Linked DNA regions of Canis lupus familiaris. The protein of the gene in region 1 interacts with the protein of each later gene in a pairwise test. Links are inferred from orthologs where the notes say so. Each region holds a gene or a part of one and is shown in the gene's direction. Other genes may lie near its edges. The genes, in order: RBFOX2, BOLL, ATXN1L, HMGA1, RNF8, HNRNPF and QKI.

Region 1 (4,022 bases):
TGTGGACACCTGGTGCGAACTGTAAAGCTCTCTCTCTTTAAAGACTTTTATTTATTTATTCATGAGAGACACACAGAGAGGGAGAGAGAAAGAGAGAGGCAGAGACACAGGCAGCGGGAGAAGCGGGCTTGCTACGGAGAGCCCGAGGCAGGACTCGATCTTGGGATCCGGGGTCACGCCCTGCGCCGAAGGCAGGCGCTCACCCGCTGAGCCACCCCGGCGTCGCTGTAAAGCTCTTACGGGCACCGGGTGTTATTACGATGACCAGAAAGCGATAACAGTAATTCTTAAAGTGTTTCAGAACCGCAGAGAGCCCTGGAGCGGTGGCTTCATTCCTGGACCTTCCGAGTCGAGATCCCTTTCTTCAGCGAGCCCTCCTCCTCCACGCAGCGCCTCCTTCCCGGCCCGAAACCAAGGCGGCTACCTGGGCGGACTCAGGTCACCGCTCCGCACCGCCCGCCCTCCCGGGCGCTCGGCCCCTCAAGCCCCGCCCCCCGGGCCGTGGCCCCGCCCCCGGCGCAGGCCCCGCCCCCCCCGCGCGGGCCGGCACGCCCGCGGCACGGCGCCTCCAGGACTGGCCGTCGCCCGGGCCGGAGATTCCCGAGCTCCCCCGATCTCCTCCCGGCCTCCCTCGGACGCCCGGAGCGGAGGCGGCGGAGATTGCCGAGGGGCGCTGGCCCCGCCCCCGCCGCCGCCGCCGCCGCCGCCGCTGCCGCCGGCGCCCCCGCCCCGCCACGGCCTCCCGCGCGGGCTGCAGTCCCAGCGCTCGGTCCCTCCCTCCTCCTTTCTCTGCGCCCGCCTTCCCGGGGCTGCCACAGTGGCGGGTCGGCGGCTCCCGGCCAGTCAGCTCGTCCCGGCCCGGCGGGTGGCGAGGGGCGGTGTGAAGGAGCGGGCGCGGGCCGGCGGGCGAGCTCCGTGAGTGCGAGAGGCGGGGCGCGGGGGGCCGGGCCGGGCCGGGCCGGGCCGGGCCGGGGGCGCGTGTGCGAGCGCGGAGCCCCGAGCGCGGAGCCGCGAGCGCCGAGCCGCGAGCCGCCGAGCGCCGAGCGCCGAGCGCCGAGCCCCGAGCCCCGAGCCGCCGAGCCCCGCGCCGCCAGCCGCCGAGGGGCGCCGGGCCCGCGCGCACGCACACGCACGCACGCGGGGGCGGGGAGGCGCGCGCCCGCCTGTCGCGACAGTCGGGGCCGAGGCCCAGGGGGAGGTGGCCTGTCGCGGGTCGCCCGGCTCCCGGAGGCGAGGGGGGCGCGGGCGGATGGCGGAAGGCGCCCAGCCGCAGCAGCCGCCGCAGCTCGGGCCCGGCGCCGCTGCCCGGGGGATGAAGCGGGAGTCGGAGCTGGAGCTGCCGGTGCCCGGAGGGGGAGGAGACGGAGCCGAGCCCGGCCTGAGCAAGCGGCCGCGCACCGAGGAGGCGGCGGCCGACGGCGGCGGCGGCGGGATGCAGGTGACCGCGCGGGACGGCGCCCCGGGACGGCGGGGCCGGGACGGCGGGGCGCGGGGGGCCGCGTGGAGGTGGGAGGCGGCCGGCGGGGCCTGCGGCGGCGGGGCGGGGCGGGGCGGGGGTGCGGGGGGTGCGGGGCCCGGCGGCCGAGCGGGTTCTGGCGGGGATCGAGGCGGGTTCCATGTCTCGGCCCCTTCCCGGGCTCCTCGGGCTGCAGTGGGAGCCGGGGGTCCTGGCTCAGTTGCCCAGGGGGCCGCCGCGGGGCGTCGAGGGCCGGGCAGCCTCCCGACAAGTAGCTCTCGGGCAGCGCTCGGCGCACGCGGGCCGGGGCCGGGGCCGGGGCCGGGGCCGGGGCCGGGGCAGGGCCGCGGAGGCGACCAGGCTCCTCGAGGGCCCGGGGATGCGGCTCAGCTCGTGGGCGGCGAGAGGCGCGGGCAGCCGGGCGGTGGGTGGGCACCGTGCCGCCGGGGTCCGCAGCCCCGAGCCGAGCGCGCCCGCCTCGCCCCGCCTCGCCCCGCCCCGCCTCGCCCCGCCTCGCCACGCCAGTCGCTTCCTGCGCGGGCGAGGACCCCCGGCCGCTGCCCAACGTCCCGGGGCGCCGGACAAGACTCCTAGGGCCGTTGGGAGACCGGGTTCGGAGTTGTGGACTCAAGGACAAGCTGGCTGATCGCGGAGGGAGCGGGAAACGTAGTGGTGTCAGTTGACTCCGTAGTTCCAGCAAGAGCTGAAGCCTTCGGACCTTTTAGGATCTGGTCTCTGTTCTGAATACACTCGCTGTGAAATGGTGGAGCTCACCTACCCGTTGTTTACACATCTGCCTAATTCTCTTAGAATCATAGAATGTTAGAGATGGAAGGGACCAGAGACATCATCTTTTCCAGAAGTTCTTGACCTGGATGGGCTCGGAAGACTCTTAGGCAGAACAGTTTACGTGCACTTTTTGGTGTGTGCGGGGGAAGTCAATAGTTTTCCTCTTTGTGTGTTTTTTTTTTTTTTTTTGGGGGGGGGGGAGTGTCCAAGCCTCAAAATGTTTTAGCCACCACATTTTGTAGATGGGGAGTCAGAGGTCCAGAGAAGACTAGTGACTTGCCTAAGGCCACCCAGTTAGCTTGTAGCAAAACTAGAACTAGAAGCCTCCTCTTCTAATTCCTATTCCTGTGCTCTCTCCATTACACCACTCTTGGAAATCCCTGCAGTGCTAAAAGACTTCCTGTGCTCTGCTCCCTGCTTTTCAAGGCTCTGCCTGACTTCCTGTGTTAGAGACCGAGCTGTATTTGAGCCTGGCATGTTTGCTGTGTGCTTACGGGTCTCCTCTGCAGAGGCCGCTCAGTTACTTGTGTTGATTTGGATAAAGTGACCCTCTTGCTGTTTGTTTTTGAATTCTTTTGTTTTGTTTGCCTGCTTTTGTTCTCCATCAGAACTGTGTCAGGCAGAGGGATTGTGAGAAGTAAAAGCTCAGGGCCATGGAAAAAATATCAAGGAACGTGGGGAGACTTCAGGTGAGGTGGATTAACGTGAGCTCATCAGAAGGGGTGACTGGATGTGGGTGCTGGTGAGCACCGCCTCCGCTTGGTGTGTGCCTACATTCGTGTGGGTCTGTATTCATTCATTGTTTCTGTCAATCACTGTTAACTCTAAGGCTCCCCCCTCCCTTTCCTCTCCTTTCCCCGTGGGGCCCATTATTTGCTGGTTGGCTTCAAACTGGCTAAGGATAGTAGTATCTGGAAATGGAGCATCACATAGGGACTTTGGAGTATGCAGAGGAAGGAGTTGGATTAGACTCTTTGGGTACAAATGGGCAACTTAGAACTATCACACAGAGAATCTTTTTTTCACTCTGTGCATTTGTGGATCTTTATTTTTCAGGTCATGCATTATCATTGCTGTAGTTCTGACACACCATGTCACACAGGTGTTCAGATCATCATTAATCTAGCCCTCTGCCTTCAACTAGCTGTACACTTCGGGAAAATCCCTGCTTTTTTTTGGGGGGGGGGGCTCTGTGTCCTTAGTTGTAAAAGAAAAGGCTTGTACATGATGATTTCTAAATTATCTCTTAAAAAAAAAAAAAGGGCATCAGATTCCTTGACCTGAAGGTGTACTTGGTGTTTCTAGTCTGGGTGGAGAAGACAAAACTGGGTGACAAAAAAAAAAAGAGTGCACGTGTGTGGGTGTATGTGTGGTTTTGTGTGTATGTGTGTAAGTTTCAGAGGAACAGGAGCAGAGATACCCTAGAGTGGATGCATGTTACAAGTCATTGCATAATTTAGAGCCAAAGTATGCAGAGGATTTGTGCTAGATGAAGGGGAAGGTCATTCCTGCTGAAATGGTCAAGGGAGGCTTTATGGGAAGGCTGAAATTTGAGGTATAATCTGAGTAAAGGAGAAGTAATGTTCCTGAAAAGATAGAATCTAACACTCAGTGACCCACACTTGTAGCACTTTGCTATATCATTGTGATAATAATAATAATTATTATTATTTATTTATTTATTTTTAAAAATTTTTTTATTTATTTATGACAGTCACAGAGAGAGAGAGAGAGAGAGAGAGAGGCAGAGACACAGGCAGAGAGAGAAGCAGGCTCC
Region 2 (3,500 bases), on another chromosome or scaffold:
TATTCTCAAGTCTTGTTTTTTTCAGATATATGTTATGAGTCTACCATCTTGCCATTGTACAAAGGCTTATATGTTAATATATATTTATTAAAATCTAAATTAGGCCCCCAACTTAGAATTGTGAACATATATGTACTGAGCTCAGTTCTTTGGTATACAGATTTATACCTATGAGTTACAGGTATATACATTTCTTTTTTTACGAAGTCAGTTCAAATTGACAAGTGCATTTAAAACTTTGACTTTAGAGCTAGATAATGGTGAACTTGAATGTCAGAATGTATTAATTTGTCAGTGCCCTTGACCAAAGACTACCAGGAGCATACCTGTAGTTAAGTAAAGTTGAGTCTATTGAATTGTTGCCACAAGGAAGAGCTATATACCCTGGAGCCTCTCCATAAGAGGGTGTTAGAAAAGAACTCACTATGGGATTTAGGCTTGTATTAAGCTCTTCTTAGCATTTAGGGAAGAAGGGCTTTACTCTGAAATTCATATCGTCAGAAAGTGGGAGTAATTCTAGGTTTGGGTCTGTTAATTCTTATTTAGAAGGTAAGAAAAATAGATTGAGGCCAAACCTGTGATTGATAAAGAAGGAGTAGTAACATATATCAGCCAGGATAGAGGGGTGTTTAGTCATGCTTGTGGTTTGGACAATGCAGGGTTCAGCCATGACCATGGAGTGATCTTGTTTTTATTGTGATCCATCACAATCACAGAGTAACTTTGCCTCGAGTCTGTTAACAAGAGAACACCACAATCTTACTGTGAGTTCCAGGCCAACTCCTAACAACACCAGAACCAAGCCAGTTCCCAGCTGTCTGAGTCTGCTTTTCTCTTTCTCAAACTTCTTTTTTGAGTTTAATGTCCTTAGTATTTATACTATTTAAATAATATATTTAATAAACAATTAACATAAGTATATTTAAATAATATATTTAAGATTTTCTCTGTAGTGGAATAGATTCTATATTTCCCATATTTTTGTTGCTCCAAAGGGTTATTAGTTCTAACTATAATTTTCATATTAGAATAAAATTAAAGTCTAAAATATCACATTTTGCCTAAGTGACTCATCTTTTTGAGAGATACATGTTTTCAGCCTGCATCAAAACTTATACCCAATGCTAAAAATTTAAAAGAATTTTATTTTACAGCAAACATCAAATCAGACGCAAACAGATTCATTATCTCCATCCCCTAATCCTGTGTCACCTGTGCCTTTGAATAACCCAACAAGTGCCCCAAGATATGGAACAGTGATCCCTAATCGCATCTTTGTAGGAGGAATTGACTTTAAGGTACCTATTTATGCATGCAACGTAGTGTATTTTTTGCAATAGAAGTTATTTTATTTCTCAGAAATACTTTGTACAACTACAAAAATATTTACTAATTGCATAATTATTAGTACGTTTCACATTGTCTTACTATAAAAAATCTTTTCAATAACAATGTAGGTTAAATAGAACATATGTAATTGTCCAGTTTCACATACAAGGAAATTGAGGCTCATTGACATATCTGTAGGCTCCTAGCTTATTAGTGACAGTGAAGACTAGAACTTCAGTATTCTGACTCATAGTTTCATATTCTTCACCATACCACATTAATTATACTTTATTACATAGTATTCCAATAGATCAAATAATCATGTTTATAATTTTCAAAAAAGACTCAATATTAAAAAAAACACAAAACTTAGTCCTATGAAATCCTGTTTGTTTATCCCAGCTCTACTCAGTGAGGTACTGAGCTCTACTCTACTCTACTCAGGTTCCTACTGAGTGATCTCCTTAACTTCCATCTTTCACAGATCGCTTTCTGCCACCTAATTTAGAATTTGGTCACCAAAAAAAGGCCTGTAACCTTATCAGAATAAAGCATCTTAACATTAATGTATTTTAATTATGTAATCAGCCATTTCATTCTTTCAGAGAGGCTTAGTTTGTTGTTGTTAGATGTTTTGCAGCACCATTTCAGAGGTGGAAGTAAACACTTAGAGGAAAGGCCTGCATGGCTATTTTAAGTAGAATATCCTTACTTCCAAGTGGATCTATAGGATTTCCAAGCTTCCATTTTATGTACTGGAAATTACAGGGATAGTTATCTTTTTTAATTTAAAAATATCCTTTTGCCATTAGGGTACAAAATTTATTACTATTTCCCTGTCTGTAATCAGTCTTCCAAGATTAGGGTGAAATTACTTTTTTTCTGTTCAAGAGAAATGTTACACTCACTGTATTTGTCAGAATAATGGTTCTTAAGTGTGTGATTGGTTCACTAAAAATAAAAATGATTTCTAATGAAATGTTTATTTTAAAAAAGATTTTGTTTCTATGGAAAATATTCTAGTATTCTTGTTCAGAATTTATATTACAAACAGTATATTTTTAAAATAAATCCTCATTAAATCAAAACATTTGTATGGCTAGGTTATTCTAGGTTACTGAATTCTATCAGCTACATTATGAACTTTGGAGGCCATTGTTAAAAATGCAGTGACAGATTTCAGGTATTTGCTAGGGTTCCCTCCCTAATACTTAGATGTTTTCCAAAACCATAAACAAATGACAACAAGGAAATAGTTTACTGTAGTAACAAGCTGTGTCAAACTTTTTAAAACTTTAAAACTTTTTAGAAGCTTACTGTACATCCTTCTTATAATACTTAATCATCTTGCCTTTCTGTCTCCTTACTTTTCAACTAAGAAGTAGAGCTACAAAACTGAACTAGTGATTCTTCTATCAGAGAATAGTTTGAATTAATTTGTTTTTATTTTATTTTTTAAGATTTTATTTATTCATGAGAGGCACAGAGAGAGAGAGAGGCAGAAACATAGGCAGAGAGAAAAACAGGCTCCATGCAGGGAACCTGATGCAGGACTTGATCCTGGGACTCCAGGATCACGCCCTGAGCCGAAGGCAGGCGCTCAACCGCTGAGCCACTCAGGTGTCCCGAATTAATTTGTTTTTAAATATTTAATAGAAATTCTTATTCTGGCATTGATTCCATTTTAAGTTTATTGAAATAAGAGGTATTTAGTTATTCTGAGATTAACTTAGTATTTGTCAACAGTCAGTTTAGCAGCTTTACATTACCAACTAATAGCTGATGATGTATGTAAGTAGTAAGGGAACAGTGGAACTCAGGAGATTAACTTAGTATTTGTCATCAGTCAGTTTAGCAGCTTTACATTACCAACTAATAGCCGATGATGTAAGTAGTAAGGGAACAGTGGAACTCAGGAGGCATAGCCTCCTGCCATTGGGCATGTCTTTTTCTGAGTATATAAAGAAATTTTTTTTCTAAAGACATTTAAAGTCCCCCATGAAGTAATTATACATGTGCTAGAAAATGAAATAGCAATGAATTTAGTGTGAATACTCTAGGAAAAGATGATATGAGTCTATTGAGAGACTATTTCAATTAAAGCCATCTTTGTAGATATCTTGTACATTATAGTTTAATAATGACTCAGATTTTTATTTTGAATATCATAA
Region 3 (4,264 bases), on another chromosome or scaffold:
TATCCCATAAGAAATCTAAACAATACGTCCTTTTTGTTATCTTTTTGGTCACCACCCAATGCTGCTTTCTTCTCCAGAGATAACCAATTTTTTTTCTTTTTAGAAGGAAGGGCAAAGTCTTCCTTTCTTTTTTTTTTTTTTTTAAGATTTTATTTATTTATTCATGAGAGACAGAGAGAGAAGCAGAGACACAGGCAGAGGGAGAAGCAGGCCCCACGCAGGAAGCCGAACGTGTGACTCGATCCAGGGTCTCCAGGATCACACCCTGGGCTGACGGCAGCGCTAAACCGCTGCGGCCACCCGGGCTGCCCCGAGATGACCAATGTCAACTAGTTGTTACATAGCCTTCCATTCCTTTTCTGGTACAGGTACATAATATGTCTTTATATGTGTTACATATGTATTTTTGCATTAAATACATGATATCACACTGTACACACTTAATTATATTTTCACTTAAAATGTTTAGAGAGAGCTCTTTTATCTACATCTTACTCCCACCGTCTCATCTAATTTAAGCTCCTCATTTTGCATACGTGGAAACCTAAGTCTAGAGTAGGAAAACGATTTTCCTAAGGTCAGACAACTACGGGCTAGGGACCAGAGCCCAGCTAATTATTTTCAAAATCAAACAACAAAAAAAAAATCAGTTGTTATTTAGTGAACAAAGTCTGCAAAAACTGAAAGGGGAAAAACCCACTCGGATTCAATCTCTCTAACAGTTAAACTTAATTTTCTCTCTTGTCTGGATGCAGAACTCTTTTACATCGGTGTAACCAAAGCACGAATTCGACTGGGGTTCGCTTTCCCACTTGCTGTTAATCCGATGTCCATGCCATTATGGAGTTAACTAGACCATTGGCAGTGAGTGGTGACCTAAGACTTGACCGAGTTAGCCAAGCCCTCTCTCCACTAACCAAACGGCTTCCACTGTACTGAACCCCTTTCTCTCAACCCTCAAGTTCCCATCACTTGCTTCACCTTCTCCTGGATCCTGGATCCGGTCCATTCTCATCCCCCTCAAAGCCATTTGTCAACGCAAAGCGCTCCCTCATCTCCACCCTGGGTCTCCAGGGGCATCTTCTTACTCCCCTGGACAGGGGTCGCCGGGGGGGCTCCCCGAGGTTCCCAACAGCAGGCTTCACCCGTCAGGCCTCGGAAGCCCAGGAAGGGGGGGTCGCCGTCGGCCACGCCCCGGGGCCCTGTTTGGGAACCCCCAGAATTTACTGGAGTGGAGAGACTGCGGGGGTCACGGTGGGGTCAGGGCGAGAGGGCGAGGCCCGCCTTCTCACGTGACCCTGTTTCCCCCCCTGGGAGGAGTTCGTTTTCCCACCAGAGGGGGCGCTGGGGCCGAGGGGCAAGGGGCTAGGGGCCGCCTCGCTGCCTTCCTGCGTGTTCCTGGGCGTCGCTCTTGGCCTGGGCGGTGACGCTATCTGCCCGCGCCGGGGGCGGGACGCACGTGACGCCATCTCCGGGCGCCCGGCTAGGGGGGCGCTGGGTGTGGGGCGGCTCCGGGGCCGGGGATGGCGGCGGCCGCGGTGGCGGCGGCTCCGGGACGAGCGGGAGGAGCCCAAGGAGCGCCGTGAGATGGGCCGGTGAGTGTCGCGGGAGTGGGGGCTGCCGGGCGGCCTCTCTGAGGCCGAGCGGGCCTGGCTCGGAGCTTAGGAGGAAGTGGCCCCCTGGAGCCATGGCCCCGCCGGACCGGGGCCCGAGAACCGCGGACCCGGAGAGCGAAGGAGGCCGCGCCTGGAGCCCCGCGCGCTTTTCTCCGGCCCGGCCCGGAAGGCGGCCCCAGGCCCCGGCGCCCCCGCGGCCGTGTCCCCGCGGGCCGGGGTGTCCGAGGCTTCGGGGCGAGAAGGGGCCCCCAAACAAGGAAGCATCCCCTGCGGGGCCTTGCCGCTGCTCCTCGGCTTCAGGGATCGCGCCCCCCCGCACCCCTAAGCGTTAAATTCCCAGTTTGGGGCCCTTCCCTCGTCGAAGCAAGGATTGCAGGATCACGGGAAGCCATCACCCGTACGTAGTCTCTCCCGAGCTCCACTCTCTGGCGGGCGCACCTCTCGCCCTCACCGAATTTCGGGTTCCGTCTCTTGCTTGTGGGCTCTGACTGGCAGCATTGGCAGCTCTCCGGAACAGACCCCCGGCCCCGTTAGCTCGGTGGGGTCCCAGGCTACGTCTCTCCCCACCCACAAGTGCTCTTTGAGCCCCCCACCCCTGAGGAAGAGGTTTCAGATTCCGAAATTGTTTGGCGTTGTTGGAACCTGATTGCACAGGCTTGGCTCTTTGTTGTCATTCGCTCAGACCTTTTGAGCGAATCTTTTATTTATTTTATTAGGTCGTGTTTGGAGAACCCAGAGGCAGGTTTTGCTTAAGGTTTTAGTTGGCAGGAAGCAAATGTAATTCAGAGATTGGAGATGTGACCCCAATTTCTGTTGCGAATGAGGGAGAAAGCTAATTGCCTCTCAGTTAACCGGGGCTGCTACCGAAGAAGGGATGCAAGAGTCGTGCCCACTGTGTAATTTGTTTACAAAACTGAGGATTTTTCCTTCCCCTCGTTTTCCTATCTCATCACCTTTTCTTGTACATACACCTTGCCAATCTTAAGAGATAAATGTTGCTTCGGTCTGGTTAAAGGCTTGCCATTCTGTAGGACTTGGATAGGGCAGTGGATAGTTTCTCAGTGCTGGTCAATACTGCTTTATCTGGCGTCCGAGATTAACGCTTTTCTCTGGTCCTTGATGTTACCGGCATGTGTAGATTCAGATATTGATAGTTTAGCGTGAGTTTTGTTTCCTCATTGTTAATAAGCTACATTAGGACCCAGGCAGTGTTTTCATTTTCTGTCACACCTGATTCAGCACTTGGTACGAAGTTGTCACTCAGAAATTTTTACATACACATACAAGATTCGTTTTTGTTTTTTTTTTTTTTTACTCTGAAAATCTGTTAATAAGGCTTCCCCTTGAATGACTCCCCCTTGACCTCTTTTTCTGCCCCAGAAACATAAATAATTGTTCTTTTTCCTCTAGTGCCACTTTTCTCATTTAAATAACCTCCACATCTGTGTTTTCATCAGCCCTGAATAATAGTGAAATCCATGGAGTTGATTTTTCCAGCTTGCCATTGTTCACATGGGAATAATGTTGAATCTTCCATTTTTAGTTGTGCATTTACCTGGAAATTGGGATTGGAAGTCAATTTAACCTTTGGGGAATAAAGTACAGGGAGAGAGTGAAGAATGTGATGTTAAGGAAAACAATGAAATTTGACATACATTGAACATTTTTTTCAGGGATGTCTTTCTATATATTTAAAGCTATTTCCTCTATTCAAATGTCTAGACACTCTGCATAAATGTGCTGTTACCTCTGGAGCAGAGGATGAGGCAGGGACTTATGGACTTTAATGTTTTTGTAGCTTTAGAATTACCTTTCTTGATGACCCTGGGGAAAAGGAGAGGCTAGGCTCCTGCTTACTTTATTCCTGTTTCTGTCTTCTAGGCTCCCAAGGCAGCGGGGAGGACACTGCTTCTTACTACAGCTGCTCAGAGGCACCACTGGAAGCTCAGGTAAAAAAGGGAAATTTGGATACCTTGTTGCAGAAAAATACATCTGGGATTCAACAATGGAAAAACAGAACAGAGTGTAATATCCAGATCCAAAGATCTGGAGCCTTGTTTGGAAGAAATAGGTGACAAAGTTCATATGCATTGAAATGTACAGACTGAAAGAATATTTTATGACAGTGGATAAAAGCATGTATGAAAGGTAACAATAAGAGAAAGGGGAGAGAGAACTTTCTTATGGATCATAGAGACCTAGACATGTTTGAAGGAATAGAACCAGAATTTAGGAAGTGTTGCCTAGAGTAGACCTAGGGCAGTGGAAAAGGAGCCATTGGCAAAAGAAAACACACAGGAAAAAAGAAAGAGAATGGATGAAGAAAGTACATTGAAGATAGTCAACGAGAAGAAAAGCAATCTTTCTAAACTGGGGGGGGGGGGGGGGGGGGGGGGGGGGGGGGGGGAGTCTTTGTGTGTGGCCAGAGAGTTTTGTTGCTCTTTAGGGAGGAGGAGAAACAACTACATTATAGAACACAGAAGTGCAATCACTTTCCTCGTGGGGGAAATGTAGTATTTCCTGGGGCAGAGAAGATGCTATTTTTCACTGGCATCCCGGTCTTTGAGGTAGTAGTGATATGAGGCAAAGGAGGATGAGAGTTTAACTAGGCCTGGGATGGGGGGATGGGAAAGGTGAGATCATAACCC
Region 4 (4,266 bases), on another chromosome or scaffold:
CGCGCCCTCCTGGCTGAACCCGCGCCCGGGGCCGCCGGCGCCTTCCCGCCCCGGCGCCCCCGCCCCCGCCCCCACCCGGCCGAGCACGTGCTGCCCCCGGCCCCGAGCGCCGGCCCGCCGCCCCGGGTGGGGGCTGGGCCCATCCCGCGCTGCTCCCCACCCCCACCGGAAACATTCCTGAAACATTCCTGAAAGTAGGAGGCCCGGCCCCTCCGGCTCCCCACCCCGCCTCCACTGCGGGCGCAGGGTTTTCCTGGCGGCCCCCTCCTTCGCCCGCTCGCCCCCTGAGGAGGGGGCTGGGCTGGGGCCTCGGCCGGCCGGGGAGGAAGGAGGGGAGCAAAGAAAAACATGAGTCACAGCCGTGTGTCACTGGGCCGCATTGCATTTCCCTGCATCACGGGAGGTGTGGAGGGCAGCCGCGGGGACCAGGGGCGGGAGGTGCGCCCGAGGAGGCCCGGACCCGGCCTGCAGGGCGCGCCGCTCTCGACAGCGCCCTTTCTTCTCCCACCGCCCTCCCCGCCATCTTTCGACTTTGGCTTCCTCCTCGTCGGTGCAACAAGTCTCTGTGGCGCCGGGCGGGCCAGGCGTGGCGGGGACGGCTCGCGTCGACCCAGTCCCTGCCCTCAAAGTGCTTCCAGGCGACCGTGGGCTCACGCTTTCTCGTTCTCCTTCGCAGCGGAGAAGGCTAGGGCACCCAGTGGGTAGGCGTATCTCCAAGCACCACGCGAGCCCCCTGGAGGGACGAGTCCACCCTCGGGTTTACCTGCAAGCGAGCCAATCGTTTGCTTCGCTTGGAGGCTGCACCTGGATGACGGCTCACTCGCGGCCATTAATAAGCGAGAACTCGGGATTTCACAAGTTTCACGTTTGGATTTCACAAGACTTGTATTTCACCAGTCAGCCACACGCAGGTTGGCACTGAAATGCACATGCTGACACCTGTCCGCCCAGGGGAATCTGCGAGCCGCGAATCTGGGCGCTGGGGCGGCGGGTAGGCCGCGGAATTCTCCCGGGCGCGTTCCTCCCCGCCCCCGCCCGCCCGCGCGGATCCCGCGGGCACTAACGCCCGCCCACACCCAGCGCGCCCCGCGGGCGCCGGGCCCACGCGCCCGGAAGGTCCCTGGAGGTGATCCTCCCAGGACCGCCCCCCCGCCCCGTTCCAGGCTGTGAGGACGCCCTCCCCTCTCCCCCCGCGGAAAGCTCCTTGGCGTTCCCACTCTATGCACCCTCCCCGGGCTCCCGGCCCGGGACAGTAGAGGGGATCGTGGCCTCGGGTTCCCAGCCCAGGCCTCCCGCGCACCCCTCCCGGGCGTCAGCACCCACCCGCGCGGCGGCGGCGGCTGGCGGGCGGCCGCCCTTTTAAATCCCCGGGCTCATTTGCATGGCCCCGCCCCCCACAGTGACACGGCTGGCGCGGGCGGGCCCGTCCCCCCTGCCCCTGGGTCGCTCTTTTTAAGCTCCCCTGAGCCGGGGCTGCGCTCCTCTAATTGGGACTCCGAGCCCGGGCTATTTCTGGCGCTGGCGCGGCTCCAAGAAGGCGTGAGTTCGCGGCCCCTCCGGTGGCTTCTTTTTTTTTTTATGTATCTATCATTTAATTAAATTATTTATTTATTGAGGCCGCGCACGGGCCGTGCCTAGCTTCCTGCCCCTCGCCATCCTTCGGGGGAGGGCGAATATTTTTGTCCCCCCGCCTGAATGTGACAGATAAATACCCCGCGGGGGCCTGGGCGGCGAGCACGCGGCGGCGGCGGTCTCTGAGCGCCTCTGCTCTCTCTCCCGGTTTCAGATCCGCATTTGCTACCAGCGGCGGCGGCGGCGGAGCCAGGCCGGTCCTCAGCGCCCAGCACCGTCGCTCCCGGCAGCCCGGAGCGCGCACCGCAGGCCGGCGGCCGAGCTCGCGGTGAGTCGTCCCCGGGGCCCGCGGCGGCGGCGGCGGCGGCGGAGGAGGGGGGCGCCCGCGCCCCCGCCCGCACGCCGCCCCTCCTGCGAGCCGCCCGGGGCTGCAGCGCGCGCCTCCGGCTTTATTCCCAGGCCGGGGCTGCGCGAGCCGGCGGCGGGGGAGGGCCGCGCGGCGCGGGGGCGGGCGGCGGGGCCCCGCGGCGCGGGGAGGGCGCCCGCACCCCTTCCCCCGCGCCGCGGGTGCCCTGCGGGGGGCGGGGACCCGGGAAAGGCGCGCGGTGGGGGAGGGGGCGCGCGGCTGCGGCGAGCGCGAGTTGTGCACCCGGCGGAGCCCGGTGCACCTCGCGCGGCCGCCGCTCCCGCTGGAGCCCGAGCCCGAGCCCGAGCCGGGGCCCGGGCTGTGGGGGGTGGGGAGAGGAGCGGGCTGCGGCGAGGCGGGCGAGTGGGGGGCCGGGCGACCCCCGCAGCCCGGGGAAGTTCTAGAAGTGAGGGGGATGGGCGGGAGCCCCGCAATTCAGCTCTGCTCCCGCTCGGCCTTCCTCCTGGTGCCCCCCTACGCAGAGGAGGCCGAACCGCGCGGCCCTGGGTTTGGGGCTTCACCCCGACCCCACCTCTGGCCCGGCCCGCGCCTCTTCAGCCCCCGGGGCCGGGCCTGCCCTCCGCCCCCACAAACAGGTTTCTCTGCTTTGCAGGGCTCTGTTGGAACTAGTCCCTCTGACTCCCCGTTTCAATTTTTTTTTTTTTTTCTGGAGCTTTATTTTGCGGGGAGGGCGCGGAGGGAGGTGGCTTTCTTCCTCTACCCCGCGCCCGCGCGCGCCAGGTTTCCTGCCCCAAGGCGGGCTTGGGTGCCCCCTCTGGCAGGAAGTGGGGCCGGGTGCACCCGCGTGGCGGTGCATGCGGTCGGGGTGCACCAGTTTCCCGCGCCTGCGAGAGCAGCCCGTGCCCCTCCCCCCGCGCGCTCGGGCCCCTAGTTTCGTTGGCTGACCTGCAACGGCCCGGCCCAGACACTTGCAGAGTCACCCTGGGGCCGGGTCTGGAGCAGGGGGCGACAGAGACTTTAATCAGTCTCCAGGAGGGTAAGGAAAGAAAAGTCCCGGGCTAGAGGGGTCGCCGGTAACAACCTCTCTTTCCTCACCAACTTGCTGTGTGACCTTGGGCAACTCCTCAGGCCTCTCTGGGCTACTTTTTTTCCGGAAAACAAGGGAGCCCCATGATGATTTCCTAGGGTTGTGCTCGTAGACTCGTGTGCATTTGTGGAAGACCCATTGCATGCACGGTGTGTGGAGGGGCAAGCTTGAGGCCCAGAAAGGCTCATTACATACAGAAGGATTCAGGTTGGGCCCTAAACATGGCTTCGCCAGCCAGGCTTCTGATATTCAGAAACAGGTGGAAGAAGAGACAAGCCCTACCGAGAGAGGGCTTCAGGCCTTCATTCAGTTCCTGGAGGCCTGGAAGGGGAGGGAGTTGGAGAGTGGATTAAAGGGGTCCCCAGGAGTATGAGGTGGTGGGGGGATCTCCAGATGATGCAGGAACTTTCCCGGAGACCCACCAGGATTCTCAGGCATGCTGGGCCCAGGCTTTCTGGGATTAGGGGCTGGCTTGGCCCAACTGGAACCCCCTCCGTGAGGGGGCCTTCTGCAGACCTCATGTGAGGTCAGTGCTCATTTAGACTGATTAATTTTGATGTTTAGCTTGAAGGGGAACCTGTGGTGTAATATAAGATTCTAATCACTGCCTGTAATTACAGAGCAGGCCAAGCCACTAATGACGGAGCAGGATAAATCACCAACCACCTTGTTTAAAAGGGTCTTCAAGTCTGAAATATTATAAAATAGAATAATTACCAAAGTCTCACCGTCTGGAGAATCGTGATGCTTGAGGATGGGGGCCTCAAGCCCTCCAAAAATCACAAGTTTGCAAAAAAACTTTCTTTTCTCTTGGCTAAGTTAAAATTGGAAATGTGTCTGAAAATCTGAAATAGGTGAAAGAAAAGTCATTTTCGAATATTCTAGTTCTCATTTTGATTGAAGTGAGGACTTTATGTTGACGCATTTAACTATGATCTTGACTATGATGATCATTTAACTATGATCTGGTTTAATCTTTGACATCAGTTTGGAAGAGGGAGTTGGGGTAGATGTCTTCCCATTACCCCATTTTACAGATGGAGGTCTTTTGGAAGTGTAGCTGTGTGGGCCCGCCCTTTCCCAAGGGCAACCAGGGATCTGTTACCAGGGAGGTACAGAGTCCTAGGTCTCCCGGGTCTCCTGTCTCTGCAACTGGAAAGACAAGAGGGGAAATGGGATGGGGGAGGGGAGGACCCTCACTGTGTTTTAAGCCTCTGGAAGAGCCACCCTAATCCGGGGT
Region 5 (4,285 bases), on another chromosome or scaffold:
GTTACTTCGAGAAGATTGCTAAACCTCTCTGTGCCTCTTTTCTCATCAAACTTAAAATAAGAATTATAATTGTAACCACCATCATCATAGTGTTTGTGAGGAGCATATAAGATAAAGTATGTAGGGTGCTTGGCCTAGTACTTGGCCCTTAGTTCTCAATAAATGTTAGCCCTTTACTGTTGTGCTTTGTATGATTCATTTAGTATATGTGTTTTCCCTTGACAGAATATAGGAAAATTGTTAACCAAGTATCGGGAAATGGAAAAGACAAGAGGAGGTGTTATCACAGAGGTACACACTACAGGGAGCAGCTACCACACTATAGTGGAGGATCAAAGAAAAGAAGTTCAGGTGGTGGTGGTGGTGCTATTAATAGCTTTATTGAGGATAATTTACATCTATCATAAAATTTGTCCAATGAAAGTGTATGTAATGCTTCAGTGACTTTTCAGTAAACGTCTACAATTGTGCAATCATCACCACAATCCAGTTTTGGAACATTTCTATCACCTTCCCAAATTCTCTCATGTCCCTTTTCCTTTAGTCCTGGCCCCCGCGCCTAGCCCCAGGCAACTGATTTCCACCTCCATAGATTCTACTGTTAAGTTTTGAAAACTTCAGTAGTAAAAAGAGGGGATCCCTGGGTGGCGCAGCGGTTTGGCGCCTGCCTTTGGCCCAGGGCGCGATCCTGGAGACCCGGGATCGAATCCCACATCGGGCTCCCGGTGCATGGAGCCTGCTTCTCCCTCTGCCTATGTCTCTGCCTCTCTCTCTCTCTATGACTATCATAAATAAATAAGAAAAAAAATTAAAAAAAAAAAAAGAAAACTTCAGTAGTAAAAAGAGGTCATGCAAAACAGATGCTATTTAGGAACAGATTCAAAACATTTTGTGCTCTTTTTAAGTAAGCTCTACACCCAAGGTGGGGCTCGAACTCACAGCCCGAGATCAAGAGTCTCATACCCTACTGACTGAGCCAGCCAGGTGTCATCAGACTTATTTTAAAATTATCACAAGTTTGGACATCTGGGTGGCTCAGTGGTTGAGCATCTGCCTTTGGCTCAGGGCGTGATTCCAGGATCCGGGATGGAGGCCTACGTCGGGCTCCCTGCATGGAGCCTGCTTCTCCCTCTGCCTGTGTCCTTGCCTCTCTCTGTGTGTGTTTCTCATGAATAGATAAATAAAATCTTAAAAATGAATGAATGAATGAATGAATAAATAAAATTGTCAAAAGTTTAAAGTCGTTTAAAAGTTGGTTATAGTTTTAGGTAACGTGGAACTCACCATAAAGCAAAATCAAAAATGAAAAGGGACGTGGGTAAGGTGAGAAGCAGCTCCACCTAGGGGCGGCTTGCGGGGCGACCCCGTCCCACCTGGAGCGGAATCGCAGCACACCTGCGGCCCCCTCTACGCGGCTTCGCTCCGGCGCAGGCGCAGTGACGCCGGTTGGCGGCCGAGGGGGCGGGGCGCGCAGCCCGAGCGAGAGTTCACATCGATCGCGAGCGCGTAGCGATTGCTTCTGTCTGTTGTTTAGTTATGGCGCCGGCGACGAGGCTGAGAGGCGGCGGGAACCCGGGCGGGGGTCTCGCTCTGTGCTGACCGCGACCTGGGGCACACGGGGCTATGGAGGAGCCCGGCTCGTTGGTCACGGGAGACCGCGCCGGTGGCCGGAGGTGGTGCTTGCGGCGGGCCAGGATGAACGCCGAGTGGCTGCTGCTGGAGGACGGAAACGAGGTGAGGGGGAGGGGCCCTGGGGCGGGGGACCGGGTTGGAGGCAGCGGCGCCGGGGCGTCCGGGCGGGAGGGATGAATGGAGCAGGGGAGGTGGGGGCGGGCCGGAGCGGAGACAAGTGAAGGAGGGTCGGGGGTCGGGGGTCGAGGTGCGAGGTGTTTGGGGTCGCCGTGGGGACCGCTCGGGAGGAAAGATGGCCCCTTTGAGAGCGGCCTGCGCCTGCGGGGCGACCTTGGGCGGGAGGCCGGGTTGCGGGGAGGCGCTGGAGGGAGGGGCTGGGCGAGCCGCGGGCGTGGGCGCTGAGCGGACCGGCTGGCTTGGGAGGGGCCTGGGGGGCCCGGGGTTGGGTCGCGCCGAGCCCTGAGGGGCCCAGTGCGCCTCCACCGCGAGTGACCAACAGCCGGGTGTCCGGGTTGGTGGGTGGGGGCAGCGGGAAAGCATGAACTTTCTCGAGTTTAGCTTGAAAAACACTGAGTTTGGGTCATGTCCCTTCAGATGAGCGCACTGTAATGTAAAACTGTCTTCCTTTCCAACCCTTGGGGGAAATCGAAGCTCTAGGAGGATCCACATTATATCCTGTGAGCCTTTTTTTTTTTTTTTAACTAAAACAGTTGATAATTTTATTTTCACATTTCACAATACAAATGAAAATTGCCCTTTTTTTTGGGGGGGGGGGTGTCCCACTACTCCCCTGCAAAAACTATTCTTTGATAGGAAGGGGAAGCAAGTCTTCCTTATCCTGCTGTTAGAAAACACCCAGAGTCACAGCACCAGGATATCCTGGTGAAGTAGAACAAGTAATATAAAATGAATATAAAGAGGTTCCTGTCTCTCCTTATCTGTCTGGTCGCGTCATTCCTGGCGGAGTGGGCACCATCATGGGACGGGCAGGAGGTCTCATCATTGGGGGCCCAGGCATCATTGGCATGTGGCCTCCCATAGGTGGCCTCATTCCAGGAGCAGGTCCCACTGGCATCATCCCAGGAGGAGGAGGGCCCATCATTGGCATCATGGGAGGGCCCCTCATATGGGAGGCTGGCATCATACCAGGGCGAGGAGGTCCCAGGAGACTGGGGAGAGGTGGGATCATTGCCCCTGCAGGAGGAGGAGCAGAGAATGGAGTAGGAGGTACTTTTCCTTGTTGAAATGCTGGGTTGTTTTGTCGATGAGGCTCTGAGCCTGCTCTTCATCCATTTCTGATAGTAGTCTTTCACATTCTCTTTGTGTTTCCTACCACTGCAGTGTGTCTTTCTCACAGATGGAGAGTCATGGGTGAGGTATGTGTCGCAGTAGTCACGATAAAACTTGGGCATGTTGCTCTGCAGGCCATTGGCCACTCCGTCCCCTGTAGTGTTTTCTAATGCAGTCATGAATGCAAAAAAGAAACGAGAGAAGGTGAAGCACGGCTCCAGTTGAGGGCAGTTGGGGTGGTGGTTTAGAGAGGGTGCTAGAAGAGGAGGCAGAGAGAGTTAGAGTGCAATCAGCTTGGAAAGGAGAGCTGGATCAGGGACCACTTGTGGTGGTGACTGGGAACCATTGGGTGTTGGAAATAATTTGTAGGAAAGATAAGTCTTGATCATTGTGTACATTTAGCTAGATTGTTTCTGCAAGCTACATAGTCTCAATTCAGTCTCCCAAATATTTATTATTTATGGTTTTTTTCCTGTGTTATGAGAGGGATAAATAATAGCAACTTTGCTCTCAAAGAATTTATTGCTTGAATGGAGAAAGACACTTTTATACAGTGAAGTATCTGAGAACAGCTATGCAGGCTGTACAATCCAATGCCAAGATCTAGATTATTTAGTACTATCCTAGAACAGTGGTTCCTCCAGTCAGGAGATTCAGGTCCAGCCTTAACTTGCTAGATCAGGAGGTTTTATTTTTATTTTATTTACCTATTTTTTTTGATCAGGAGGTTTTATTTATTTTTTAAAAAGACTTTATTTATTTATTCATGAGAGAGAGAGAGGCAGAGACACAGGCAGAGGGAGAAGCAGGCTCCATGCAGGGAGCCCGATGTGGGACTCGATCCGGGGTCTCCAGGATCACATCCTGAGCCAAAGGCAAGGCTAAACCACTGAGCCACCGGGGCCACCCTGATCAGGAGGTTTTAAAGGGTTACTTTGCTGTGATTTGAAGAACACCAAGAGGACCCCTCTGCCCCAATCTCTTTTTCTCTTCAGGTATCAGTGCCGAAAAGTCTACATTAGGCACACATTCATTTTTTTAAAAAGATTTTATTTATTTGTTTATTTATGTATGAGAGAGAGCGTGCACACATGCACCCCTGCGCAGAGAGAGAATCTTTTTTTTTTTTTTTAAGGTTTTATTTATTTATTCGTGACAGACAGAGAGAGAGAGAGAGAGGGGGGCAGAGACACAGGCAGAGGGAGAAGCAGGCTTCATGCCGGGAGCCCGACGCAGGACTCGATCCCAGGACTTCAGGACCGTACCCTGGGCCAAAGGCAGGCACCAAACCGCTGAGCCACCCGGGGATCCCCCCCTTTTTTAAAAATATTTATTTATTTATTTATTCATGAAGAGACAGAGA
Region 6 (4,143 bases), on another chromosome or scaffold:
TGCCTAGAAAAGAATTCACCCAAGCTCAGTGATTCCCAGCAGTTGAATGTGGAGGAAGGACTCAAAGGAAACAGCTAGGAGAACCAATCAAAATTAATAGGAAAACCAGAAGGTTGCATCTTCTTTAAGAGGGAGAAAGGATTTCCAGGGGGAGTGGTTAAATTCTGCTGTGGGAACAAGTAAAATGGTATATAATGGCATTAGTTCCGAATGGACATTCTTAATTACTAAGAAGGTGGTCTTCAGTGAAAAGACTGAAGAGAAGTTTCTCTTGGCACCTGGATAGCTTGGTTATTTAAGTGTCCAACTCTTGATCTCAGCTCAGGTCTTGATCATGCAGGGTTGTGAGCTCAAGCCCCACGTTAGGCTTCACGCTAGGTGTGGAGCCTTAAAAGTTTTTTCTAGGGTGAGTGGAGTTGGGACCAGAGCAGGATTGTGATCCTGCTAATGATATCAGCTAACAAGAGAAGCAACTGCTTGTTTATAAATTCCTAGACTTTGTGGCATGTGGCAGTTCCTTCACGTAGTCGCTGTTCTTTGAATCAGCTGCAGATGGGGGGAATGAGAAAAGGTGAGGTTGCCACAGACAGCTCAGGGCTTTGGGCAAGTGTGTGTGTGTGTGTGTGTGTGTGTGTGTGTGTGTGTGTGGTAGAACTGTAGGCAGTATTGAGGGCCCACTTTAAGGTTGGTGATCCTGATTCTACAGTAGTCATTCTCAGCTGGGAGTAGGTTTTACCCTCAGGGAACATTTGGAAATATCTGGAAATCTGTGGGGTTGTCACACCTGGGGGGAGGGTATTGCTACTGGCAGCTTGTAGGCAGAGGCAAGGGATGTTGCCTTCCAGCCTATAGTGCACAGGCCTATTCCCTACAACAAAGAACTGTCTGGTCCACAATGTGAACCATTTGGCCTGGCTATGTGACACTGAGCTACCTGGTACAGCCAGGAAATAGATAACTTAAACTTCCTGAGCTGTTTTACTTCACACGTACAAAAGAGGAGGAAGAGCATATGAAATCTGTTATAGGGGGATGGGGCCAAAGTCATTACAAAATCATCCTTTTGCACGTTGGCAGTTTTAAAAAAAATGATTAAGTGCTGCATAGTGACTTCATCAAATACTGAAATTACTGTAATTTATTAAAATTATGAGCCAAGGGACACCTGGGTGGCTCAGTCAGTTAAACATCTGCCTTGAGCTCAGGTTGTGATCCCAGAGCCCTGGGATTGATAACCAATATCAGTCTCCTGGTCAGCGTGGAGCCTGCTGCTCCATCTGCCATTCCCCTGCTTATATTATTACAAATTTGCTCTGTCTTTTCTCTAGTAACAAGAAAATACCCTTTTACTTGAGTGTCATAATCTCACTTTCCTCCAGTTCTGAGAAGTTCTCTATTTCTAAATATTGGCTTATTTCATTCTTTTGTCTTCCCTTTAGAACTTAAAATAACTGACCATTAGAATTGATAGGCTGTGGCTTACTGACAGAGGCTTCTAGATCACTATTGTATTTTTTTTTTTTTTTTTTAGATTCCTAATTCTTTTTCAGTCTGTAATATGTACATTTTAGGGGAGACCTGGGATTGAATCTGAGTTCAAATGTATTGGGTGTATTTCTTAACATTTTATTTTTTCATCTGTAAAATCAGAAAAATAAGATTTACTGCATATTCTTGTACATAATAAATGAAAAATTATGTAAAGTTTTTGCTTTCTTTTCAGCCACAAAAAACTGCACCCAAGCTTGTTTGACGTCTGTCCTCTCAAGTGTCCATGATGCTGGGCCCCGAGGGAGGTGAAGGCTTTGTGGTCAAGCTCCGTGGCCTGCCCTGGTCCTGCTCTGTTGAGGATGTGCAGAATTTCCTTTCTGACTGCACAATTCATGATGGGGCTGCAGGCGTTCATTTCATCTACACTAGAGAAGGCAGGCAGAGTGGTGAGGCTTTTGTTGAACTTGAATCAGAAGATGATGTAAAAATGGCCCTTAAAAAAGACAGGGAAAGCATGGGACACCGGTACATTGAGGTGTTCAAGTCCCACAGAACCGAGATGGATTGGGTGTTGAAGCACAGTGGTCCAAACAGTGCCGACACCGCCAATGATGGCTTCGTGCGGCTTCGAGGACTCCCATTTGGATGCACCAAGGAAGAAATCGTTCAGTTCTTCTCAGGGTTGGAAATTGTGCCAAACGGGATCACACTGCCTGTGGACCCCGAGGGCAAGATTACAGGGGAAGCCTTTGTGCAGTTTGCCTCCCAGGAGTTAGCTGAGAAGGCCCTCGGGAAGCACAAGGAGAGAATAGGGCACAGATATATTGAAGTGTTTAAGAGCAGTCAGGAAGAAGTTAGGTCATACTCAGATCCTCCTCTGAAGTTCATGTCTGTACAGCGGCCGGGGCCCTATGACCGCCCTGGCACAGCCAGGAGGTATATTGGCATTGTCAAGCAAGCAGGCCTGGAGAGGATGAGGTCTGGTGCTTATAGTGCAGGCTATGGGGGCTATGAGGAGTACAGTGGCCTCAGCGATGGCTACGGCTTCACCACTGATCTGTTCGGGAGAGACCTCAGCTACTGTCTCTCGGGCATGTATGACCACAGATATGGAGATGGCGAGTTCACCGTCCAGAGCACCACTGGACACTGTGTCCACATGAGAGGGCTGCCGTACAAAGCTACCGAGAACGACATTTACAACTTCTTCTCTCCACTCAACCCTGTGAGAGTCCATATTGAGATTGGCCCTGATGGAAGAGTGACGGGTGAAGCTGATGTTGAGTTTGCCACTCACGAAGAAGCTGTGGCAGCTATGTCCAAAGACCGGGCCAACATGCAACACAGATACATAGAACTTTTCCTGAATTCCACAACTGGGGCCAGCAATGGGGCATATAGCAGCCAGATGATGCAAGGCATGGGAGTGTCAGCCCAGTCGACTTACAGTGGCCTCGAGAGCCAGTCTGTGAGTGGCTGTTACGGGGCTGGCTATGGAGGCCAGAACAGCATGGGTGGATATGACTAGTTTTGTAGGAGCATTTGAGTTATTGCAATCAAATTTTCACAGGCAGCCAACAAGCAGTGAAAAGCAATTATTACTCTAGAGGAAGCTGTGGGACCCATTTTGCACCATGAGTTTGTGAAATCTGGATTAAAAAATTACCTCTTCAGTGTTTTCTCATGCAAACTTTCTTCTAGCATGTGATATTGAGTAAACTAAAACTATTTTCAGCTTTTCTCAATTAACATTTTGGGTAGTGTACTTCAGAGTGATGTTATCTGAGTTAAAGTAGTTTTAAGTACATTAAATGGATCTTTTACACCACATCACCGTGAACACATTGGGGAGACGTGCTTTTTTGGAAAACTCAAGGTGCTAGATCCCTGATTCAAAGAGGAACATTTCTCCTGTTTGTTCATTCTAGTTTATTTTCATTTAAAATCTTTTTAGGTTAAGTTTAAGCTTTTAAAAAATAAGTTAGTTTTGAAAATTGAGACACATTACTAATACTGTAGGAATTGGTGAGGCCTTGACTTAAAACTTTCTTTGTACTGTGATTTCCTTTTGGGTGTATTTTGCTAAGTGAAACTTGTTAAATTTTTTTGTTAACTAAATTTTTTTCTTAAAATAAAGATTTTTTCACAATGACTGGCACCGACTATATACTCACCAAAAAGCAAAATGGGTGGTTGAAGAGAATTTGTTTTAATACTGCTGTATTTCAGTGTGAATTTCAAAACTAATTTAGCACATGGAATCTAAGATTTCCCTTATTCCTATACCAAGGCTAAATTAAAAGTTTGATTTTTAAAAATGTTAAACATGAGCGGTAGAAATGGTGACTGGAAACACGGGAGTATGAAAATAGAAGCAGCACGCAGGCCTAGCCTCCTTTGAGACTGGACTGCTCAGCTGTAATGTCCCGCTCTTCTCTTATACTGGAGTCACATTCATTTCTCATAGCTAAAGACCCTTAATTTTGGGTGCCACATACTTTGGCAGTCTTTTAATCACAACCACATTTTGTTTCAGGGTGGTTTTTTTTTTTTTTTATATGAAGTTACTGATTTGAACATTTTTTTTCCATGCTAGCTCTAATAATCCTGGGTTAGAAATCACAGGTTATTACTGAATACACATAAATCTTG
Region 7 (4,031 bases), on another chromosome or scaffold:
GTGTCGGGGCACGTGACGCCCACCCCGAAAGTCCCCCGTGAAGCAACAGGACGTTAAAAAAAATTCTTTTCTTTGGGGGGGGGGGAGGGTGTGAGAACGGACGACAGTTTTTCTTTCTTTTTCTTTAAACAACAACAAAAAACTATAGTAACGGAGGAGAGAATGAGGCGTGCGGCGGCGAGCGTCCCGCTGGCGAGCCCTCACCCACCGCCACAGCCCGGCCGCGCCCGCCAGACGAGCCGGCCCGGCGGCGGGGAGCGGGGAGCGGGGAGCGGGGAGCGCGGAGCGGCGCGGCCCTCACCCCGCCCCCAGTCCAAAGCACCGCCACCCGCCGCCCCCGCCGCGCCCCGCCGCCCGTCCGCCCGTCCGCCCCGCCGCCGCCCCTCCCTCCGCCCGCCGCGCCGCGCCGCGCCGCGCCGGCGACCCCAGCCCCGGGCCCCTCTCGGGCCGACCACCCGCCGGACGGAGGCGGGAGGCGGCGGCGGCGGCGCCCGGGCCGGGGTCGGCGGCGGGAGGAGGAGCGCGCCGGCCGGGCCCCGCTAACGGCCGCCCTGCGCGGCCCCGCCCGCCGCCCGCCCCCGGCCCTCCCCGCGCCGCCGCCCCTCCCCCCGCGCCGCCGCCGCCGCCGCTGGCAGCGCCGCCTGAACTGAGGCGAACTCCGCCGCCAAGTGAGTGAGGAGGAGGAGGAGGAGGCGAGGAGGAGGAGGAAGAGGAGGAGCGGAGTCAGAGCGCGGCGGCAGCGGCAGAGGCGGCCGCGGCGGGGACCAGCCCAGAGAGACCCCGAGCCCGCGGCAGAAGCGGCGGCGGCGGCTGAGCGGGCGCGACCAGCCGAGCGAGCGGCGGCGGCGGCGGCGGCGGCGGCGGCGGCCCGGCTCCTCCTCGTCCGGCGCCGAGCGGCCCGCGCCCGCACTCGGCCCGCGGAGACCCGCCTCCCGCCCGCCGGCCTCGTGAGGGACGCGCCGAGCCGGCGGCCGAGGAGCGGCGGCGGCGGCGGCGGCGGCGGCGGCGGCGGCGGGCCGGGAGCGCGTCGGGCCGCGGGCGGAAAGTGCCTGCGGGGGCGGGGAGAGCGCGGCGAGCGCGCGGTCCGGCCGCCCCGGCGCCCGGCGCGGGAGCGGAGCGGAGCGGGACGCCGAGTCCCGAGCGGCCGGCGGCCGGGGCTCCCCGCCCCTCCCTCCCTCCCTCCTCGGCGGCGGCGGCGGCGGCGGCGGCGGCGGCGGCGGGCGGAGTGAGCTGCGGAGCCTGGAATATGGTCGGGGAAATGGAAACGAAGGAGAAGCCGAAGCCCACCCCAGATTACCTGATGCAGCTGATGAACGACAAGAAGCTCATGAGCAGCCTGCCCAACTTCTGCGGGATCTTCAACCACCTCGAGCGGCTGCTGGACGAAGGTGAGTCGCCTCGGCAGCCGCTCGCGGCCCCGCGCCCCGGGGCGGCCCATCTCCCCGGGACCCGACGCCCGCCGGCGTGTTGGGAGGGCGGGAAGGTCGCGGCTGGCGGGGACCGTGCGCCCGGGGACCCAGAGGCCCGGGCGGGGCGCATGGAGGCGGCGCCGAGGCCGGGCTCGCGGGGCGCGGCGGGCGGCGGCGGGCGGCGGCGGGCGGGCCGGGGCCGCGGGCTCGGGCGGGACCCGCCGGCGGGACGCTCCCCCTCCCCTCTCCCCCCCCCCCCAGGCCCGCGACCCCGGGCCTCGCGCCGCCGGCCTCGGCGCCCCGGGGAGGCTGCGGGGCGAGCCCCCTCGCGCCCCTGGCTTCCCGCCGCGCCTGCGAGCACCGCGACGGCCCGGAGCGTGGCGGGCCTGGCCGGGAGGAGCCCCGGAGGAGCCCCGGAGGAGCCCCGGAGGAGCCGGCCGCGCCCGGCCCGCGGGCGCCTGAAGGACACCGGCCCCGGGGCGCTCCCCGGGGGGCTCTCCCGGAGGCCGCGCGCGTTCCCACAGTGGAGGGTCCTGGGGCCCGCGGCTGCTGGGGAGTTGGTGCGGCTTGCGAGTACTCGAGGGGAGCAGCGTGGGGCCGGGCCACTGGAGGGAATGTGCCCGAGGAGCCCCAAAGTAGTGCGGACCGAGCCGGAGGCCGGGGCAAGATGACAGCCGAAAGCACTTTTCGTCCTTTTGTTTGGGGAAGCGAGAACTGTTGGGGAGTTTAACTTCACTTTGGGCGCGGGGTGGGGGGGGGGGGTGAGAACGAAATACCGCGAGGACGAGTCTAAACGTCGTCCCGACTCGGAGAGAACTTCGGCGGAGAGCGAACCCAGGACGCCGCTGCCTCGCTCTGTAGGATGGACGTTCCGAAGGACGGGGAGAAGAAGGGGCAAAGTTTGCAGAAAAGCTTTGTTGGCGGAGAGCGGAGGGTTGCGAAGAACGACAAGATTAATGTTGGCCGACTCTGGGATTCCTTTAACAAGTTCTTGCTTAGAGCAGTGCCCTGGACTGCCGAATTCTAGCAGCTCTGCTTTTCTGTGGAAGCCTGGAGAAGACAAAATGACCAACAAAGTCTAATTTGAAAATCGAGTACTCAGGAGGTTTTCTTTTTTCTTTTTTCTTTTTTTTCTTTTCCTGTCTCAGAAGCATCCCTGGAAGACTGATAAACTGTTTTATAGAATTGAACCGTGGATTTTAGATTTTTCATAGGAATTTCGAGATCTTTATAGAACTAGAGAAAAGGAATCTGAAGCTTAGAGAGTTGGAATGTCACTAAAGAACAAAAGACCGGAAATGTCTTCGTGATTAAAGATGGTTAAAGAAGAATCCCGGGATCATTTGTTGTCAAGAAAGTCCTAGAAACAACTTTCAAAGTTCGAGACTGTTAGGTCTTACAGCGTCCTAGCTATTGCTTACGTATGTTAGACCGAACAGCGGTAATCCTCATCGGAATGGGCTTTTTTCCCTTGTTGAAATAGCAAATCTGTTAATTTTATATTGCTCCAGAAAAAACTTGAGCTGTCCCTTTAAGGGGTTCTGCTTTTTCTATTTGTGTTGGCATTTGAAAGATTGTGGAGGCAGAAAACTTTCTGGAATGTCGAAAAAAAAAAAAAAATTGCTGGAACTATTAAATTGAGTATTTCCAAATGTGAGCGCTAAGGGGCGCCAGTTATTTTTTTTTAAACATGAGAAATGTTTGGAGCAAAATGTGTAATATACTCAATAATTTGATCTATATTATATTTTAAATCTGAATCACAGTAGATCATTTTGCGTGTCATTTCGTGTTCATAATACACTTACCGTATTTATAATATATAGTTATAAACTCAGAACACATTACGTAAAATTATGGGAACAATTTTATTGCATTTCAAAAATGATATGTCTTTTCTGCCTTGGTATATTTTGGAAATTTTAAAATTTTAATAGTATTTGTTAAATTTTCTTTATTTAGTACAGTTTAGAAGGAATCTTTCATTGACATTAAAATGAAATGTGTCCTCACAATATTTAGAATTAATTAAAGTTGCATTAGTCTTTTAATTACAATGCTGAGTTCAATCAAATGACATAGGAGTTTATGAAAAAAATTGAAGGTATTTCACTTTATGTGTATCTTATTTAAAAACATAATTTGAATTTCTCTGATTAGTTCTGAAAGACTTCTCACCTGTGCTTTTATGTTGATCTAAAATCTTTAAGTGATCATTTGGAGTTGTTCCTTGTTAAAAAGTTTCTAACGTTGGCTTCAATAATTTGTAATCTTCCAAATCTAGAATTCCACTTAGGTCTTTATCTCTAACAAAGGTTTGTTCATTTCTCTGTGGTTGGAAATAGTAACTATTTGCCTTTTAAAACTTGGGAGACCACTAGCTGAGGATGATACATTCTAAGTAATTTTTTTTTTTTTCTCTTTTAATGTGGTTTACTCCATCTCTTATCTTGGTCTATCTAGAATTTTAGCCTTTCCTCCCCAGGGTAAGTAAAGATTGCTTGTGTCGTAGCTGGGATGTTTAAAATGGACAGCATAATGACTAGGAAGTTTGATTGTTTTTTTATCAGACCAGTACAAACATGCAGGAAGAGGGGCTATTCCTTAGTGTGGAATAAGCTG

Evidence for each region.
Region 2: the proteins of RBFOX2 (region 1) and BOLL interact in binary tests that used the Homo sapiens proteins (3 or more experiments, as listed by UniProt). The two-hybrid records come from large-scale screens. The link is inferred for Canis lupus familiaris from reciprocal best matches to the Homo sapiens genes RBFOX2 and BOLL.
Region 3: the proteins of RBFOX2 (region 1) and ATXN1L interact in binary tests that used the Homo sapiens proteins (3 or more experiments, as listed by UniProt). The link is inferred for Canis lupus familiaris from reciprocal best matches to the Homo sapiens genes RBFOX2 and ATXN1L.
Region 4: the proteins of RBFOX2 (region 1) and HMGA1 interact in a two-hybrid assay, tested with the Homo sapiens proteins (2 studies listed by BioGRID and IntAct, with this or other methods). The link is inferred for Canis lupus familiaris from reciprocal best matches to the Homo sapiens genes RBFOX2 and HMGA1.
Region 5: the proteins of RBFOX2 (region 1) and RNF8 interact in binary tests that used the Homo sapiens proteins (3 or more experiments, as listed by UniProt). The two-hybrid records come from large-scale screens. The link is inferred for Canis lupus familiaris from reciprocal best matches to the Homo sapiens genes RBFOX2 and RNF8.
Region 6: the proteins of RBFOX2 (region 1) and HNRNPF interact in binary tests that used the Homo sapiens proteins (3 or more experiments, as listed by UniProt). The link is inferred for Canis lupus familiaris from reciprocal best matches to the Homo sapiens genes RBFOX2 and HNRNPF.
Region 7: the proteins of RBFOX2 (region 1) and QKI interact in binary tests that used the Homo sapiens proteins (3 or more experiments, as listed by UniProt). The link is inferred for Canis lupus familiaris from reciprocal best matches to the Homo sapiens genes RBFOX2 and QKI.

Annotation. Positions count from the first base shown.
Region 1 is NC_049231.1:29,219,398-29,223,419, forward strand, and holds the start of RBFOX2 (RNA binding protein fox-1 homolog 2), read left to right. Parts: upstream 1-1,222; 5' UTR 1,223-1,249; coding exon 1,250-1,438; intron 1,439-4,022. UniProt on the Homo sapiens protein: RNA-binding protein that regulates alternative splicing events by binding to 5'-UGCAUGU-3' elements. Prevents binding of U2AF2 to the 3'-splice site.
Region 2 is NC_049258.1:7,090,215-7,093,714, reverse strand, and holds part of BOLL (protein boule-like), read left to right. Parts: intron 1-1,154; coding exon 1,155-1,298; intron 1,299-3,500. UniProt on the Homo sapiens protein: Probable RNA-binding protein, which may be required during spermatogenesis. May act by binding to the 3'-UTR of mRNAs and regulating their translation.
Region 3 is NC_049226.1:78,196,411-78,200,674, forward strand, and holds the start of ATXN1L (ataxin-1-like), read left to right. Parts: upstream 1-1,464; 5' UTR 1,465-1,595; intron 1,596-3,497; 5' UTR 3,498-3,565; intron 3,566-4,264. UniProt on the Homo sapiens protein: Chromatin-binding factor that repress Notch signaling in the absence of Notch intracellular domain by acting as a CBF1 corepressor. Binds to the HEY promoter and might assist, along with NCOR2, RBPJ-mediated repression.
Region 4 is NC_049233.1:3,706,047-3,710,312, forward strand, and holds the start of HMGA1 (high mobility group protein HMG-I/HMG-Y), read left to right. Parts: upstream 1-1,466; 5' UTR 1,467-1,539; intron 1,540-1,786; 5' UTR 1,787-1,900; intron 1,901-4,266. UniProt on the Homo sapiens protein: HMG-I/Y bind preferentially to the minor groove of A+T rich regions in double-stranded DNA. It is suggested that these proteins could function in nucleosome phasing and in the 3'-end processing of mRNA transcripts.
Region 5 is NC_049233.1:6,561,117-6,565,401, forward strand, and holds the start of RNF8 (E3 ubiquitin-protein ligase RNF8), read left to right. Parts: upstream 1-1,485; 5' UTR 1,486-1,623; coding exon 1,624-1,734; intron 1,735-2,393; exon of another isoform or gene 2,394-3,167; intron 3,168-4,285. UniProt on the Homo sapiens protein: E3 ubiquitin-protein ligase that plays a key role in DNA damage signaling via 2 distinct roles: by mediating the 'Lys-63'-linked ubiquitination of histones H2A and H2AX and promoting the recruitment of DNA repair proteins at double-strand breaks (DSBs) sites, and by catalyzing 'Lys-48'-linked ubiquitination to remove target proteins from DNA damage sites.
Region 6 is NC_049249.1:3,821,685-3,825,827, forward strand, and holds the end of HNRNPF (heterogeneous nuclear ribonucleoprotein F), read left to right. Parts: intron 1-1,723; 5' UTR 1,724-1,774; coding exon 1,775-3,019; 3' UTR 3,020-3,643; downstream 3,644-4,143.
Region 7 is NC_049222.1:52,355,125-52,359,155, forward strand, and holds the start of QKI (protein quaking), read left to right. Parts: upstream 1-1,231; 5' UTR 1,232-1,246; coding exon 1,247-1,388; intron 1,389-4,031. UniProt on the Homo sapiens protein: RNA reader protein, which recognizes and binds specific RNAs, thereby regulating RNA metabolic processes, such as pre-mRNA splicing, circular RNA (circRNA) formation, mRNA export, mRNA stability and/or translation.